3 linked regions of the Drosophila melanogaster genome follow. The protein of the gene in region 1 interacts with the protein of each later gene in a pairwise test. Each region holds a gene or a part of one and is shown on either strand. Other genes may lie near its edges.

What was found.
Region 2: the proteins of CG13032 (region 1) and CG31638 interact in a two-hybrid assay, tested with the Drosophila melanogaster proteins (one large-scale study listed by BioGRID).
Region 3: the proteins of CG13032 (region 1) and CG5280 interact in a two-hybrid assay, tested with the Drosophila melanogaster proteins (one large-scale study listed by BioGRID).

What each region holds. Positions count from the first base shown.
Region 1 is NT_037436.4:16,671,014-16,676,476, forward strand, and holds CG13032 (uncharacterized protein), read left to right. Parts: upstream 1-2,950; 5' UTR 2,951-3,134; coding exon 3,135-4,532; intron 4,533-4,588; coding exon 4,589-4,962; intron 4,963-5,020; coding exon 5,021-5,231; 3' UTR 5,232-5,251; downstream 5,252-5,463. Other genes in the region: zetaCOP (coat protein (coatomer) zeta), read right to left, coding at 782-829, 1,441-1,531, 2,044-2,411, 2,469-2,486.
Region 2 is NT_033779.5:6,489,080-6,494,542, reverse strand, and holds the start of CG31638 (uncharacterized protein), read right to left. Parts: upstream 3,483-5,463; 5' UTR 3,309-3,482; coding exon 3,168-3,308; intron 3,109-3,167; coding exon 3,038-3,108; intron 2,976-3,037; coding exon 2,936-2,975; intron 2,860-2,935; coding exon 2,339-2,859; intron 2,284-2,338; coding exon 2,080-2,283; intron 2,024-2,079; coding exon 1,687-2,023; intron 1,570-1,686; exon of another isoform or gene 1,483-1,569; coding exon of another isoform or gene 689-1,482; intron 571-688; coding exon of another isoform or gene 105-570; exon of another isoform or gene 11-104; intron 1-10. Other genes in the region: CG9547 (uncharacterized protein), read left to right, coding at 105-570, 689-1,482; Phf5a (PHD finger protein 5a), read left to right, coding at 3,786-3,837, 3,914-4,104, 4,170-4,255, 4,321-4,327; epsilonCOP (coat protein (coatomer) epsilon), read right to left, coding at 4,432-5,352.
Region 3 is NT_037436.4:8,987,509-8,992,608, reverse strand, and holds CG5280 (uncharacterized protein), read left to right. Parts: upstream 1-2,380; 5' UTR 2,381-2,475; coding exon 2,476-2,680; intron 2,681-2,788; coding exon 2,789-3,160; intron 3,161-3,226; coding exon 3,227-3,402; 3' UTR 3,403-3,540; downstream 3,541-5,100. Other genes in the region: smg (smaug), read left to right, coding at 1-528; CG5068 (uncharacterized protein), read right to left, coding at 3,914-4,223, 4,286-4,510, 4,566-4,877.

The sequences.
Region 1 (5,463 bases):
AGATTATCGGTGCTTAATCGCTTAATAATTAGCACTGCCTCGTAAAGAGACTTTAATACCCTAGCACTCCCAGTTTTAGGTGCCACTTCAGGCCAAGTTGCTTGGACACCAGCTGGTCACGTGGGTTTACGACATACTTTATCCTCGTATCTGGAGACAAGTGGTTTCGATTTACCCCATCTGCATATGATTGGTGATTGCGCTGTCAGTTGCAACATAATGCCTGCCTGCATTATCTTATTGTAATACTGACCGATCTGCGTTGCGTTGAATGGGTCAGTTCTGGCATTATATGGCTACTTGCGCTACTTCATCGATTAAGCAAAATAAGAATTATTGTGGACTTCAGTAACACCATAAAGTTCTGCGATAAGCCATAGCAGCTCGATAGCAACGAACCTGGGAATACTCTTTAATACATTCAGTATTAGTCTGGAAAGTCTTCAAAGCTTTTATTAGATTTGCCTAAATACAGTCCTTGTTTATTCAGGTGATTTCCCTTATCTAAGAACTCGATTGCATACCACGCACAAAAGATTTATAGTGGCGCAAACGGAACTTGGCAGCTCCAATCGCCCGTCGGTGCCTTTGGCTACTCTATGACACACCGAGTTAGTAGTTTAATGCTAAATTAAAACATGCAGTGCTCTCCAGTTAAATGTATGTATTATTATATGCTTTACAACTAGGCGAAAACAAGTGGGCGCTAAAAGAAGAATCGAATGTATTGCGACAACGCGGCACGGAAGTGGCTTCCTCTCTTCCGCCACCCCATTTCACATCACTTCAGAATGGACCATTTGAGTTGTTCACGTGCCGATTGCAGAACCTAAAAGATAGATAGCACACACATATATAGATACAGATACTCGGCAATAATTTCGATCAATTAGCTAATGAAACAAATCAAAATGAGCGCGAAGTTCCAGAACATTTTCACCAATTTTATTTTGAACATTCTCGGAGTACAATGAATGGGGCGATATGGGGAAAAGTAATCGAAATTCGGTAACATGTACAAAAGGTAAAAAGAAATTTACGCCGACACAACTACTTTAAATTGTAATAAGTAATATTATCTGGAAGCATTCATTAAAATAGGTACAATTTTACAACATTTAAACACTTTTGTTGAAACTGAAAATAGATCGTAATTAAACAAAAATGCGAATAACAAATAAATCTAGGCAAATGTGTAAAGCTTGTAAACTTATATTAACTCAGTTACTAACTACATATAGTCTTGAAAAACAAAGAGCCTAATTATTTGTTCATAGGGCGGGTAAAACTAAATGAGAATATATTTGACTGCAGGGTATCAAATTGCGAAACGAAACCAGACAAAATTAAAGTACAAACGGCTACCATTGAGTTATAAACACTTAGAAGAGCTACCAAGTAGTTAGACTACCAAAATAGACCATTAAGGGTGTTAGTTACCTGGGCAACGGTCTGTTCGGCAATGGGAATGTCATCGTTGCGCAGATCAACGCGTTTCACCACCGACGAGGGATCCGCATCCAGAATAATGCTATTTGGAAAACGGGTAAAGGTTTAAATAGAATATTTGTATTTAATAATATGTAATGCATAATATACAGTGATGAATGGCAAAGTATATCTTTTTGTACCTCAGGTGATTTCTAAAGCTCAGCCTATAAACTTAAAAACTTATACGAGCTGCATGCCTAGGATGCCAGTGCTCGTATGTATTAGTTTAATCTTTAAGTTTAATATATTTTAATATTTAGTTTGATTTATATAATTAAACTTTTGTACCTATACCCTAACATCGCAGTTATCATATAACTTTTCATTGGACTTGACTAGGTTTTGTTAAAAAAAAGGAAGCTTTAAATGCGGTTAACTACTTAGAGGCTTCACTTGAGCTGGCCTAACTCATAGACTAGTAAATAACAATGTTATTTATGGGAACTTGTGTAGTAATAATTTGATGTTTTCTAAACGAACTGCTGCTAATGAAAGCTGCTTTAACTTGGTCCCTTGTTCTTTCCATCCATCACTGTATACGCTAATACACACCCTCCGTCGCAGATCTCGTCAAATGCCAGCATGATGATCTCCAGGTTTTCCAGCACCAGGCGCTTCTCAACGTTCTTCTTGAGGATCAGGCTAATGGAATCGTAGAGGCAGTTGAGCACGGACAGCAGGATGAGCTCGTTCTCGTAGGCGTTGCCCATCACGTAGAAGAAGAGGTCCACGTTGCTCTTGTACACGCAGGTGAGTCCGTCCAGCATAATGATCTCCGTGTTGGAGCGGTGCGTCTTATTGAACAGATTCTTTTCGAAGGCCTTCTGCTCCTTCAACGTGGACAGGATGTTCTTGTCGTAGTACTTGGCCAGGATGCGGTTGCCATCGTTGTCCATGATGCACATGCCCTTGATGATATCCTGCAGCACATGTTGGGTTTGATTTTAAGCCAGTTACTTGTGTATTTTGCAATTTACCATCATAAATCCGTCCATCTTCACTTGTTTTCGTGTCTTACACGTCACTTTAGTATGACCATATTGCGACCGCTAAATTATACCAACTAAACAGTACTGCCAACTCGAGTCACAAAATAAATAGCTAGATACAGTTAAAACTATCTAGAAAAACTGTTAAAATTTTTGAATTTTAGCTAAGCCGTTATCGTTGTTTTATTATTATATTTTAAATTATAATTTGAAACACATGGGGGGCTGGCTTGCTTGACGTTGGCCGTACTTTGCTGGGGTATTTAAAATAAAATAATGTAAATGTAAAAAAAGAATAACGGTTTAAATGTAAATTATCCTGTCTTAAATAAAACAACAGTTTGGAAAGATCAAGAAAAGAATTGTCAATGTCAATTTTATTATTGCAGAAACTCTGTTTATTTTTAACTTACCTATTATTGAAGAAATCCTGATTATGACAAGAGTTCCAAATTTAAAAATTGCCTTGCCTTTGATTTGTCTGTTTCAAATGAGGTTTAAATTTGAATAACCTAGAAACAACTGATGACAACCAAAATTTGTGAATATTTTAGTAACAAGAACAGGCACACGTACAAATTATTTTCGCCCAGCCAACGAAATTGTTAGATTCAATTGTGTATATTTTTATGTGAACAACTAGAGGGCATTGCGATGGAGACTTTGCCGGAAGAGTATGTAGCCCATCGGGATCAGGAGCTGTTGGGGTGCAAAGTGGGCCGTTCCTCTCGACGTCGGCATGACCATGATGCCATGGCCGCTGCCCATGTGGTGCTGACCACCGCTGTGGTAAAACCAAAGCCAACAAAGCCGGAGTCCAAAAAGCTGCGCAAAAAGCTATCCGAATGCGAGCAGGAGAAGCAGTCACTGGCCCAGGCCATTCATGAGAAGAATCAGGAGATATCCGACCTGAAGAAATCGGTTGATTCGCTCAACGAGGTGCTCAACTCCGTGCCCATTGATGAGCTGCGCTGCAACTCCTCCATTGCCAGCACCAAAATCCTGGAACTGAGCAAGAAGAACCGCCAGATGCGTTCCGAATTGGAGCAGGCAAAGAGTCGGCTGGGTAAAAAGGATGCTCAGATCGAGAAGCTGGAGAAGGAGCTGCGTGCGCACGAGGAGAAGCTGCAGCATAATCAGGATCTGCCAAAAAAGGGCTGCTCCCCCGATGAGCTCCAAGCCAAGATCAACAGTATGCAGCAGAAGCTCTTCGAAACGCGAAACAGGAACACCGAGCTACAAAGCCAACTGAAACTGGCCCAAAAGTGCCTGCAGCACGAGATCGGTGAGAGCTGCAACATCAACATCCTGGCCAACAATCTTAATCAGGCCAATTGGCGCGGTCGTGCTCAGCAGATCATCGCGCTCAACCAGAAAGTGCACGAGCTCAAGGCTCGCTTGGATTTCTACGAGGACCGAGCCGTAGATCGAGCCGAATATGCTGCCCCAGTGCCGTTGGGTTCGGATCTGGAGTTGGTAACCGGCAGCTGTCGATCACATCATGCCAGCTCTGAGAGATTAGGTGGAGGCGATGGCGGCGGAGCCACAACGGCCAGCTTCGATCGCTTTACACCGGGTGTGCGTAAAAGTGAGATTCTTCATCGAGCCAAGGTGGAGGCTCTGGAAAAGGAGATTCTTAGCCTGCAAAACCAACTGGAGGATCAACGCAGCAAGACACTCGCCCTAAAGGTGAGGAACAAGAATCTGAACGAGGAGATGAACAAGTACAAGATTCTATACAATGAGCTGGAGGAGCAGACCGACTTCAATGGCACCAATATCAATACCATGAATGACAAACTGAACCAGCAGAGGATTCAGTACGAGAACCGTTTGGACGACATGCGCGGCGAGCTGGTCCGGGTGACCGAGGAGCGAGATCTTTCGCGCCGGCAAATGGAAGAGCTGAGCGGTATGCATCTGGAGCTGCAGACGGTGGTCAAGCAGAAGGATGTGGCCATGGCCAGTCTGCAGGATATGATCAAGAAGCTGGAAATGGACCTGCGCGCCCTATCCGGCGGATTCCTCTTCTCCTGCCGCGAGTTTCGAAAGGTAAAACTCTGTACACTAAAACATAAGCTATTAATTTGCTTAATTATATTCCGCAGGAGGAATTTGTGGGCATCCTGGATGCTCTAGAGGTGGAGAAAAATCAGCTTATGTTGCTCACCAAAACTCTAGGAGATCGTCTGGAGACGGAGAGAGCCAAGAACGAAGCAGCTCAGGAGCAGATTGGCAAGTTAAAGGCCCGTATCAGCCGACTGGAGGTCAAGATCAGGGACCTGGAGAAGGAACTCGATGTGCAGTCCGATAAGAAGAAACGCACCCAGCGAATGGCCGACTACGCCAGTTCGCTGAGTCGCACTTCTCTTAACGGATCGATTGGTTCCTTCTGCTTCGAAAATCAGTCCCAGTACCAGTCCACAAATACGCTGAATTCGGCAGGACAGCCTGAGCCCAGAATAGAGGATCTAAAGAATAAGTAAGTTCGGACACGGCAATCCCATCGCTTAATCAACTATAACTACTTATATTTTCAGTCTTGAACTGGCCAAGGAAAAAATCACAATGCTGACAGAGAAGCTGGAGTATATCACCGAGGAGAAGAACGCAGATGCCAAATTTTTCGAGGACACCATCAACAGTACGAAGACCATTATCCTTGAAACTGTACTTGGAGCTCGCGAAAAGGGATTGAGCGATCGTAGCAAAAATGCAGATAAAAGCACGAGCGAGACTTCCATTCAATAATGAAGATGAACAAAACCACGATTTTTATTTTGATTAGTTTTTATGTTCTTTGCAATGCTAAAAAAACTGGACGAGAAGTCATGCCATATACATATTTATATGTAACTGGAATGTTATTAAACTTGCATGGCATTGCAATGCACATCATTGATTCTGAAGTACCGAAAACAATGAGTTTTAAATTTTCATAAATTTTTATTTGATTTGTAACACGTTCACAAAACGAAGCCTT
Region 2 (5,463 bases), on another chromosome or scaffold:
ATTTAAGCTTTCTTCAGTCTCTCGCCGAACGTCGAATCGAGCAGCTGTTCCGTGGAGAACCGGCTGATCACTTCCAACAGAAAAGACAGAACCGAATCGGAATTATGATTGCGCAAAGTGTAATCAGCAAACTGCGACCGTGTGCCCGCCGCTTGGCCAGCACGAGCTCCAAAGCCGCAGCTCCCAAATTCAACTGGCAGGATCCGCTGAATTTGGAGAGCCAATTGACCGAGGAAGAGGTGGCCATTCGGGATGCGTTCCGTGGATACTGTCAGGCCGAGCTGCAGCCGCGCGTCAAGATGGCCAATCGCCTGGAGACGTTCGACAAGAAAATTATGGAGGAGATCGGCAGTCTGGGTGTCCTCGGCTGCACCATTAAGGGATACGGCTGCGCCGGAGTCTCTAGCGTTGCCTACGGCTTGCTCACCCGCGAGGTGGAGCGCGTGGACTCCGCTTATCGGTCTGCTGTCAGTGTCCAGAGCTCGCTGGCCATGGGCGCCATCTACGACTTTGGATCCGAGGAGCAGAAGCAACGCTATTTGCCCAGCATGGCGGAGGGCAAGCTGATTGGTGAGTGCCAAATGAATAAAATCATATTTTAATGAAATATTGAGTGAATTATATAAAGTCCCGTAGTTTATATGTGTTCTCTTTAAACGAATCTCAATTTCTTTACATATTTATTCAGGTGCCTTTGGCCTAACTGAACCCAACCACGGTAGTGACCCCGCTGGCATGGAGACCCGTGCCAAGTACGATAGCAAAAGCAAGACATACATCCTGAACGGATCTAAGACGTGGATTACTAGTGCGCCCATCGCAGACGTCATAGTCGTATGGGCAAAATGCGAGGATGGCAAGGTACGCGGCTTCCTGGTGGATCGCAAGATATCCGGCAAGGGTTTGGAGACGCCAAAGATCGAGGGCAAGTTCTCTCTGCGTGCTTCGCCCACGGGTATGATCCTGATGGACGAGGTCCGTGTGCCAGAGGAGCAGTTGCTACCCAATGTGGCCGGCTTTAGTGGACCCTTCAGCTGTCTGAACAACGCTCGCTATGGAATCGCGTGGGGAGCCCTGGGAGCAGCTGAAACCTGCGTGGAGATTGCTCGCCAGTATACACTGGATCGCAAACAATTCGGTCGTCCTTTGGCTGCAAATCAGTTGATCCAAAAGAAGCTGGCCGATGCCATCACAGAGATTGCGTTGGGTCTGCAGGCTTGCCTGCATGTGGGTCGCCTCAAGGATCAGAAGCTGCACACGCCCGACATGATTTCCCTTCTAAAGCGAAACAATACTGGCAAATCGCTTGATATAGCGCGCCAAATGAGGGACATGCTGGGTGCAAACGGAATCAGCGACGAATATCATGTGATCCGCCATGTAATCAACCTGGAGTCAGTTAACACCTATGAGGGCACGCACGATATACACGCGTTGATCCTGGGCCGAGCCATCACCGGACTGGCGGCATTTGCTAACTAATGTACTTGTTTCGAAAATCATAAAGTACTGCATTTACCAATTTGTTTTATGTCGAAGTGTCAATGTGAATAAATGTTAATCAAACCGAATTCGGTTCGGCGAGGAAGGCTGTTACATCTTTAAGTTTTCCTAGGCTGATAAGCTGATACGCGTAATCTGATCCATATATCATCTGATAAGATTTTTGGATGTGGATTTACTCACCTCCGCCTCATACTGCTCGGCTCGCCGCACGGCGTGTCCCAGCTCTGTGTTTGTTTCGGCCAGCAACTTCTTTAGCTTGGCGTGCGACATCTTCACCTCGCTGATCTCCTTGTTGCGCTCCGAAAGTTCCTGCTGCAATGCTCGCAGCTCCACGTCATTAGCTTGCATGGGTCGGCACTTACGGTCCGAACGTTCCTGATAATCTCGCAGTTCTGCGCGCAGTTTCTTGTTGTCACGCTCCATGGCCAATTTCTCGGACTCCAGTCGCTCGCGCTTGCCCCATTCGGAGGCGTTCTCCGCCTGAAGGTGCTCCAGTTCAGTGCGAAGCTCCGTGAGGCTGCAATGAATCGATAGTTACACTCTTGTCAAAGTACAGAATGCGTATTTGCTTACCGGCGCTCGAGATTCTCACGGGCAGCAATCTCCTCCTGCAGCGAGTTATTCACGATACGCATCTCAGCACGATGTTGTTCTTGAAGAGTTAATAGTTCACGCACTGCCTCCTGCTTGGCCGAGCGCATCTCCTCTTGACGTCCGCGCACGTCCTGGATCTCCAGCGTCAGTTTCTCAATGCTCTTGTGCAGCTCCAGCTTTTCGCTGCGAAAATAATAGAAATAATTAAAGTATTATTATTGGAATAGAGATTACTCACTCCCTTTCCGCTTGAAGAGTTTTCTGAGCCTCGTCGAGGCGCAATTGCAGCATGGATATCTTTTGCAGCAAGTAGTCTTCGTCAAAGTCATCCTTTGACAATTGCTGAATCAGGCGCTTCTCCTCGGCAGCCGCCGCTTCGTCCAACTCGGTCAGATGTTTGGGCATAGCCCCCTTCATAGCGAACTCCTCAATGTCTAGATCCTTGACATCATTGGGCAGCTTGGTAACCAAGCCGTCCTCGCTATTGATATTCTTTAAGCCATCCGAGGAGATATCCGGCGAGCAGTTGGCATCCCGTCCGTTGGCCTCCGCATCCTCGCTGGTGTCGGCTCGATGGAACTGACCGGCGTGCTTCATCATCAGCGTGTGCACTTTCTCCATCTCCTTCTTTAGCTGCGTGATCTGCAACTCGAGATCGTTCTTCTCCCGCTTCAGCGAGTGGGCCTCCTTCATGACGCCGTCCAGTTTGAGGCTCAGCTGCTTGGACTCCTCTCTGGCCTTATTCCGCTCGTTGCGGACCTGCGAAAAGTGAAAAGTTTTGTTATTGGATACCGGCGATATTGACCCAACTTTAAAGCCATGGCAACCAAATTACCTTACTCCACTTCTCCCGCCAGTTGGCAGTGCAGTCGGACCTGGGAATGGTTGATGTTTGGATTAGCAGATAGTTTTGAGCACGACGAGCTGCTCCACTTACCACCACTTCATGGTTTTCTCCATCTGCGCCGCCCGTGCTCGAGCTTCGTGCAGTTCCCTCTGCCGCTGGGACTGAATAGAAAATGGGAGTTTATGGGAAATGATATAAAGCATCACACTCCGATACGCACCTCCCGAGCCTCCCATTCTGTTTCTCCATATCTAGCCGACATGGTGGTCCCGATGACGCCCACGCCGCCCACTTCATTGCGTCTGCTGCCACCCGCCGGTGCAGCGGTTACACTTTGCGTTGTGGATGCTGTCTGCGACATTTTGCTGGTGTCCTTTCTCAAGTCCTGCTTGCTGCCCTAAGTACCACACAACTACCTAGCTGATCTGTTGCATCGTGGGAGTGTTTTTGCAATATTTTGGACCAAAGCTTAATGCGAATACAGAAAATAAAATTCGAGAATGCGAACAGCTGTTGTTGTTTACTAGTCGCTGTGAATGGCCAAACTGCATGGTGTAGGGCTGCCAGTTGCTTTTGAAAGTTATTTAATTTCAGTTAATTGTTAAAAAATATTATTTGTATCTATATTGTATTATCAAATGTGGTAAATAATATTTTTAAAAAAAAATTAATTTTTTCTTTATTCAAGCCATCATAGAGTTTAATGAATGCCCTACATGATAATGCTGACCACTTGGCAACCCTGAAAGCGAGAGTGTGTAAAGGTCACACTATAAAGAAGTCGCCGCTTTTTCAGCAACTGTTTTTATATTTGCTGACTGAAAACTAATATTAAATCATGGCCAAACATCATCCGGATTTGATTTTCTGCCGCAAGCAGCCCGGCGTGGGTGAGTTCTCAAAAAAACCCGTTGAAAATCCCAGACAATCCAATAATTCGAAATCTCTCGCCATCTCATGCGGCAGCCATTGGACGCCTGTGTGAAAAAGACGATGGAAAGTGTGTGATCTGCGACTCCTACGTGCGGCCATGCACACTGGTGCGGATCTGCGACGAGTGCAACTACGGATCCTACCAGGGCAGGTGCGTCATCTGTGGAGGACCCGGAGTGTCGGATGCCTACTACTGCAAGTCCTGCACCATTCAGGAAAAGGACGTGAGTTCGCAAGTCATGCATTCTGGTGCATTCTGTGGTATTATTGTCCATTTTGGTTCTTATAGCGCGACGGATGCCCCAAGATTGTAAATCTAGGCAGCTCCAAGACTGACCTGTTCTACGAACGCAAGAAATATGGCTTCAAACAGAAGTGAGTACCCAGCACAGCAGTCAAACATAAAAAATCCACCCTAATACTTTGTATTATCTTTACAGCTATTAATCTGCTCTCCGCTACCTCAATACATTTCTAATAAATTTTTATTGTAGTTTAATACATGAACAAAAGGTTTTGTTAATTTGGATATTTGGAATTTTTTCTTATATCTAGACGGCGAGCAGTTTTTCACCGCCCTCGACGTCGTACTGCAGGCACAGGCGGTCGAACTCCGCTGACTTCTTGTCTAGATCGGTGACAAAGTCGCTCTTGGGATAGAACTGCCTCAGCTGTTCTAGATTCCGGGTGATCGCCTCTGTCGGCTTGCCCGTAAGATGGGCATGAACCATCAGATTGATCAGCGTGTCGTAGTCGTTGTGCTTCTTCAGCAGAGATTCACGCAGAACGGAATCTGCCTCCTCGTACCGCTCCAGACCCAAATGAACGACCGCTTGGCCGTTCAGCAGCGCCGGAGTTGGCTTGAACTTTTCACAGAACTCCTGGTAGATGTGAAAGGCGTCCTGCATCTGTTCCGTTCCCTGGGCGAGGGCCACCCACGCCTGAGCGAGCTGAGTCAGCGTAGCATCGTCGCTGATCTCCTGCATCTTGGCCACCAGCTGCTTGGCCAGGTCCACGCGCTGCAGACGCAGCAGGCACTGGACCGACAGAGCCATCGACTCCAGATTGGTGGAGCCGTGCAGGATCTTCAGTGCGTTCTCGAACTGCCCGTCGTGGCAGTAGACGATGGCGGTTGCAAGGTGCCAGATGTTGGTCTCATCCTCCTCTCCGGCCACCTTGTCCGTGAGTTTCTCCAGCAGCTCCTCCGTCCTCGAAGGCTGCTCAAAGGCTTCGTGCACCAGACGCAAGGCCTGCAGTGGCGTGGAGTTTCCCTCCTTGATGTCCGAGGCCACGATGCGCCCGGAATCGATGGCCAAGTAAGATAGGTACATGTAGGACAGGAGCTCCGGACCCGCGGTACCCTGCTCCGGCAGCACGAAGTTGATCGAGCCCATGAAGTTACCGATGTAGTACTCGTTGCGGGCATCGAATAGCACCGAGTTGGTGTCCTCCTCATTCTGCTGTCGGCTCATTTTCGTAAATATTATTGAATTAGATGGAAAAACCGAATTCTTTTCGGCTGAGTTGGCTTATTTGTGTAAACTTATCGGTGCCTATCGTACATCGATACCAGATACGTTGTT
Region 3 (5,100 bases), 7.7 Mb from region 1:
CCCGGTCAGGGAGTGCTCACCAACAACGGATCTAACGACAACCTGGTATTGGAACGCAATCAGCAGTCGCAGCAGCAGCAGCAGCAGAGAAAACTTAGCGGAGGAGTGTCCAGTGCGGAGCAACAACCAAAGAAGACCATGGCCGCTGTTGTGATGGTTAGTAATCCAAACCAGAATCAGGACCAGCACGATCAGCCCCAGATCCTGATCAACAACAATAATAACAACAGCATGCTGAACAACAATTTGATTAACCAGCAACAGTTGCAACTTTTGGCAGCAGCTGCTGCCGCCGTGGGCAGTGGCAGCTGTCTGTGCTCCAATGGTGGTGGTGGTGCCTGTGTCCACAATATCTGTCACCAAAGCAGCAAGAACAACAATCATGGCGTAGACCATTGCCTGTCCCAGTCACCGTTGGGCAGCCTGGGCATGTCGCCCCACGTCACCGAGTACAAGATGAACGACTTTAAGAGCCTAGAACAGCTGGAGACGTTGTGTCGCCAAATGACTGAACAGGCAATGAACTGAGCAAGATTCAGGGCTATCTGGGTTTTGAAATCATCATGTAATGGCGTTAGATTTGAGGCTGCCAGCTGTTTTTGTGTTCATTTAGCTTTGAGCCGTGTTTGATGTTTGATTTCATAACGAACATAAATGTTTTTATATTTAGATATTTAAGATTCGTGTCTATTTTTGTGTCGCGTCAAGTTGTCCACCCTGCGTCTCCTTTCACATCCCGTTCTGTAATCGTTTTTAGTTAGTAAGACGATAGTTTGTTTTAATGTTAAGTTTATTAACTGTATGCCAAGGCGCCCCCAAAGATATGATCAATTGACTCGGGCTCGCAGGACCAACGGCTGGCCGATGAACTTGTGGAGCCCATGCTGCACTCCCCGACGGTAATCCCATGTCGGTTGTCAGCGGGGGCGTGGCATCTTACTGTCAATGTTATTAATGTATAGGTTTCGTAAATGTTGTCGCCATTTATGTAGTTAAACTAACAAGCCAAGCCCCACAACACACACACACACAGATCGCAACAACAGAATACAGTAACTTCTCTCTACCTAGGAAAATTTGGCCAAATTTGATCAACATTTTACGCTATTCTAAACCCCAATCACAACATCAACTATTTCATTCACTATCAACAACGTCGCCAAATGAAAGAAATACCCCGATCTGAACGACGACGAAAAATGGTTTATCTAGTAAAAAATTATAAAATGAACTCTGCATCGTGACCATGAGACTGACTAAGATTACTTTTCGCAACTATAAAAACTAGAAGGAAGAAAGCTGGATGGAGAGGGAATTGAAAAGTGAGAATTGAGAAACGAGAGCTGATAATTGTTTGCGCGAATCAAAACTAGGCTTGCTGAATGAAGTAGTAGTCACATAATGAATATGTTTATATATACACGTACACATAATTTATTTTAAATTAAAAGGAACATATTTGCTGAACCGTAACTGCACCAGAGGAAATCGCAACGGCGGAAACTACCACTAGACTAAACTTTAACAGAAAAGAGTTTCAATGTTTCACTGTTTGTGTTTGAGAATCGGAACCACATATTGTATTTTGCATATTTAAGCGTAAGCCAAATCCATGTATTGCATACCGATCATGATCACCATTGTCATTGATTAGATTATCTCTACTATTACTATTATGTTTGCTTTAGTCAATTGTTTATAATGTAAATGGCAAGCCAATCACTCGATATGTTATGTTTTAGTTGTTTTTTTAAAAATTATATATATTTATATATACAAATGTATGTCGCTAAGCTTAGGTTCAAACAAAAAACGACGATGGGCCAAGCTGGAAAAAAGAAGGCAGCCAAAAAATATTTACCTTAAGAGCGTAAAAACGTGTAGTCTAATTGTAAATGTATAAAAACGAACAAATGCATGTGTAAAAATCTTGGTTGGAAATGTTTTTGTTTTCTAATTTCTCGTCGATATTTCCAAGATTTGTTTGTTTACAACAACCGCAACACTGTAAATCGCAGATGCTTTTATTTAATAATAAAAACCTATTGTACGGCCAGTTGGGATACAAAGATAATCGAAACCTAATTGTCAAACTTTAGCGAGTTCAAAACGATCCACAAACTAAATGGTTTATTGTAAAAGTGCAACTACTCGTAGACGAATGTGCATAAGTCAGTTAAATGTTCGCAAAATTATCATAATGCGAGCATAAACCAAGCGTGTACCTACCCACACATATACACACATACAATACCTACATATATTTATTTTCAATAAATTATTTCGAGATTTAAAAATACCCATGCTGTTTACCTAACAACCCAGGTTGCCATGCGTCTCCACTTTTGTTGTCCGGCGAAAAACAACTTCATACCGAGGCTAGCCTTCAAACACACCAAACGAAATTATCGAAGCGATTTTCTATAGTATATACAAGCCTTACTTTTCCGGAGCAAAAATTATTAGCTTTACAGAATGAGCCGACATCGCTTCAACAACGTGCAGATCAAGGCATTGCCCGGTGGTCTGATGGCCCACCACGAACCGGATGCGGATGGCGGACAGCCCGGTTCGCAGAAGCTGCCCATGTGGCCCAGTGAACGCATTCCTCCTGGCGGTGCTGGAGCCTTCCACTCGGCCAAGGTGCAATATAGCAAGGAGACAGCTGATCTGATCCGATGTAAGTGCGTTTTGGGCATGCCAAATATCTAAGGAATAAGAGGATAAGAGGACCATCCATAAAGATAATCGTGTACATTTTCCGCTTCGTTATAACCTCCCTTGTTAGTGCTTGTCAAGGAGTCCAAGATGTCGATGTTGGTACGCAAGCAGATCGATGAGAGCCTGCGCAATGGGGAGCCATTGCCATTGCCCGAACCGCCGCGTCCCAATACCAACAACGATCCGGACAAGGAAACACTGGCCATTTTGGATCGGGCACGCAATGCCAAGCGTAAGAATCTGCGGCAGATCGAGGCGAGCGGAGCTTACAAGCAGAGCTATTACCGCCCGCCCGCCGACAACCGAATGCATGGAGAGAAGGCCAAGTCGCAGCTGCAGTTCACCATGGCCGGCACTCATTTGCCCGATCCGGCGATCAAGCCGCGACGTCGTCCTCGCGAAGAGCAACTGGTGACGGAGGAGGATCTCATAAACGAGCGTAAGTTGGAATATTTCTTAAGCGGAATAAAGCGGAATTATACATTGAGTTGGCATGCTCCTACAGTTTTGGACCAAATCAACGAGCGTGCTGAGTGGTTGACGGAAATGGAGTCCATGGGCCAGGGTAAGAAGTATCGTCCAGAGATTCGAGATCAGATTGCCGAACGTCTGCGTCGCATTCAGGCGCTGGAGTCCAAGATGAAGATGAAGTCCAATGGCGGCTTCCGTTTCGTGGACTAAATGTGTTATCCTGTTTTTAAAGTTTCATGATTTCATGATTGAGACGACGAGTAAACCAAATAAATAAATTCCAAGATTCATTTGAATTTAATGGGAATTTATGGTAACACTCGATTAATAAATAGCTTTATTCAACTTATTCGCATTCGTATAATTTGGATTTCGTTAAATTTTCATTTGATCTGGCACATATTTAATACACACTCATTATAACAATGCAAGAAGCCCAAACGCAAGCACTTTAGACCTTAGATTTTTGGCAAAATGAGTATAAAGTACAATGTTGAAAATTCAAGTGGTTTAATTAAAAGTACCGAATAAATTACTGGATTATTAGTTTATGTGTATATAGAATATACGGCTGTATATATCTGGACCTACGCACTACATTTTGTATATATATATATATATGCACGCATCTGTAAGTTCAAAGAGTAATGCACCTCCATTCAAAAATAGACTTTTGTGACCTCAGTTTGTGCTCAACCTCGGATTCAGGGGGTGGTTGTGTTTAGCACGACGGCATGTGGCAACGAAATTCGCTGGCTGCTTCTGCAAACCGATTCCGGATCAAGTAGCCGCTAATCACCTCAGCCACCTCGTGTGGACGGTCCTCGTGCACGGCGTGACCGCAGCGGGCCAAGACCTGCATCTGGAAGCGACCCTGCATCTGGCCAACAGTCAGGGTGCGGTCCAGTCCATCGATGCTGGCGAGGAGTAGTTGCTTGGGCAGGCGCAAGTTAAGGAACTTATCGCTCAGCCCCGAAAACCAGCCCACCCAGTACTTCTCCGACTTGGACAGATCAATGCGCCAGGTGTAACTGAGAAGCAATCAATGAATAATTTGTGTTTTAACTAAAATAAAATAAATTGGACTACGTACTTTTTGGCCGCTTCGGTTGTCGATTTGGTCGTGTTGGGCTTCTTGAAATCCGCGCCAGCTGCGGCACTTTCTGAGGAGCCATCGGCGGCGTCATCGCCCGGCGGTGACGATTCTTCATCCTCCGAAATGCTAAACGGATTGGGAAACATACTGTTGTGGTGGGCCTCCTCCAATACATCATCTGGTAATGGCAGATCATTCGTTGCCAGTTTGTTCGTTGTACAACTGCGTGGGATTGATTTATTATTACTTTTCTGTCGTTTACGACAATCCTACTCACTTTATTATCTGTCCCGGCATGGACACTTTGGCGCTGTCCACATTGCGCACTTGGCCGCTTCGGATGCACCACTCGATAGCATTCGGAATACTCTGGAAATACTTTGGACGGGAGCGCAGAAAGCTCTGCATGCTGGCTAGTGCCTCCATGGCTGTGCCCTCCACAACATCGATGACGGTTATTCCAATCAAATTGGGCACCAGAGCCATGTGGGCAAAGTGGACGGCGATGGCGCCGCCCATCGAGTGGCCAACCACAAAAAGCTGCGGCACTTCTTCAGGATAGAGCTTCAGGATTAAGTCACCGATGTCCCTGTTTAGAATATTTTAAACATTATTATAGATTATAGATTAGATTATTATGGTTTTTAGCTTCAACCGTGAATAAAGTAACTATAAAAAACTAAATAATATTTACAAATGAGTGATCGTTCAAATAGATCGACCTACTTTAAGTGCAGTGCGCTATTTTTATAAATAAAGAGATTATGCAAGTTTAGCCTAATCGTTCATAAAGCTAAGAGTTAATGCGAGAA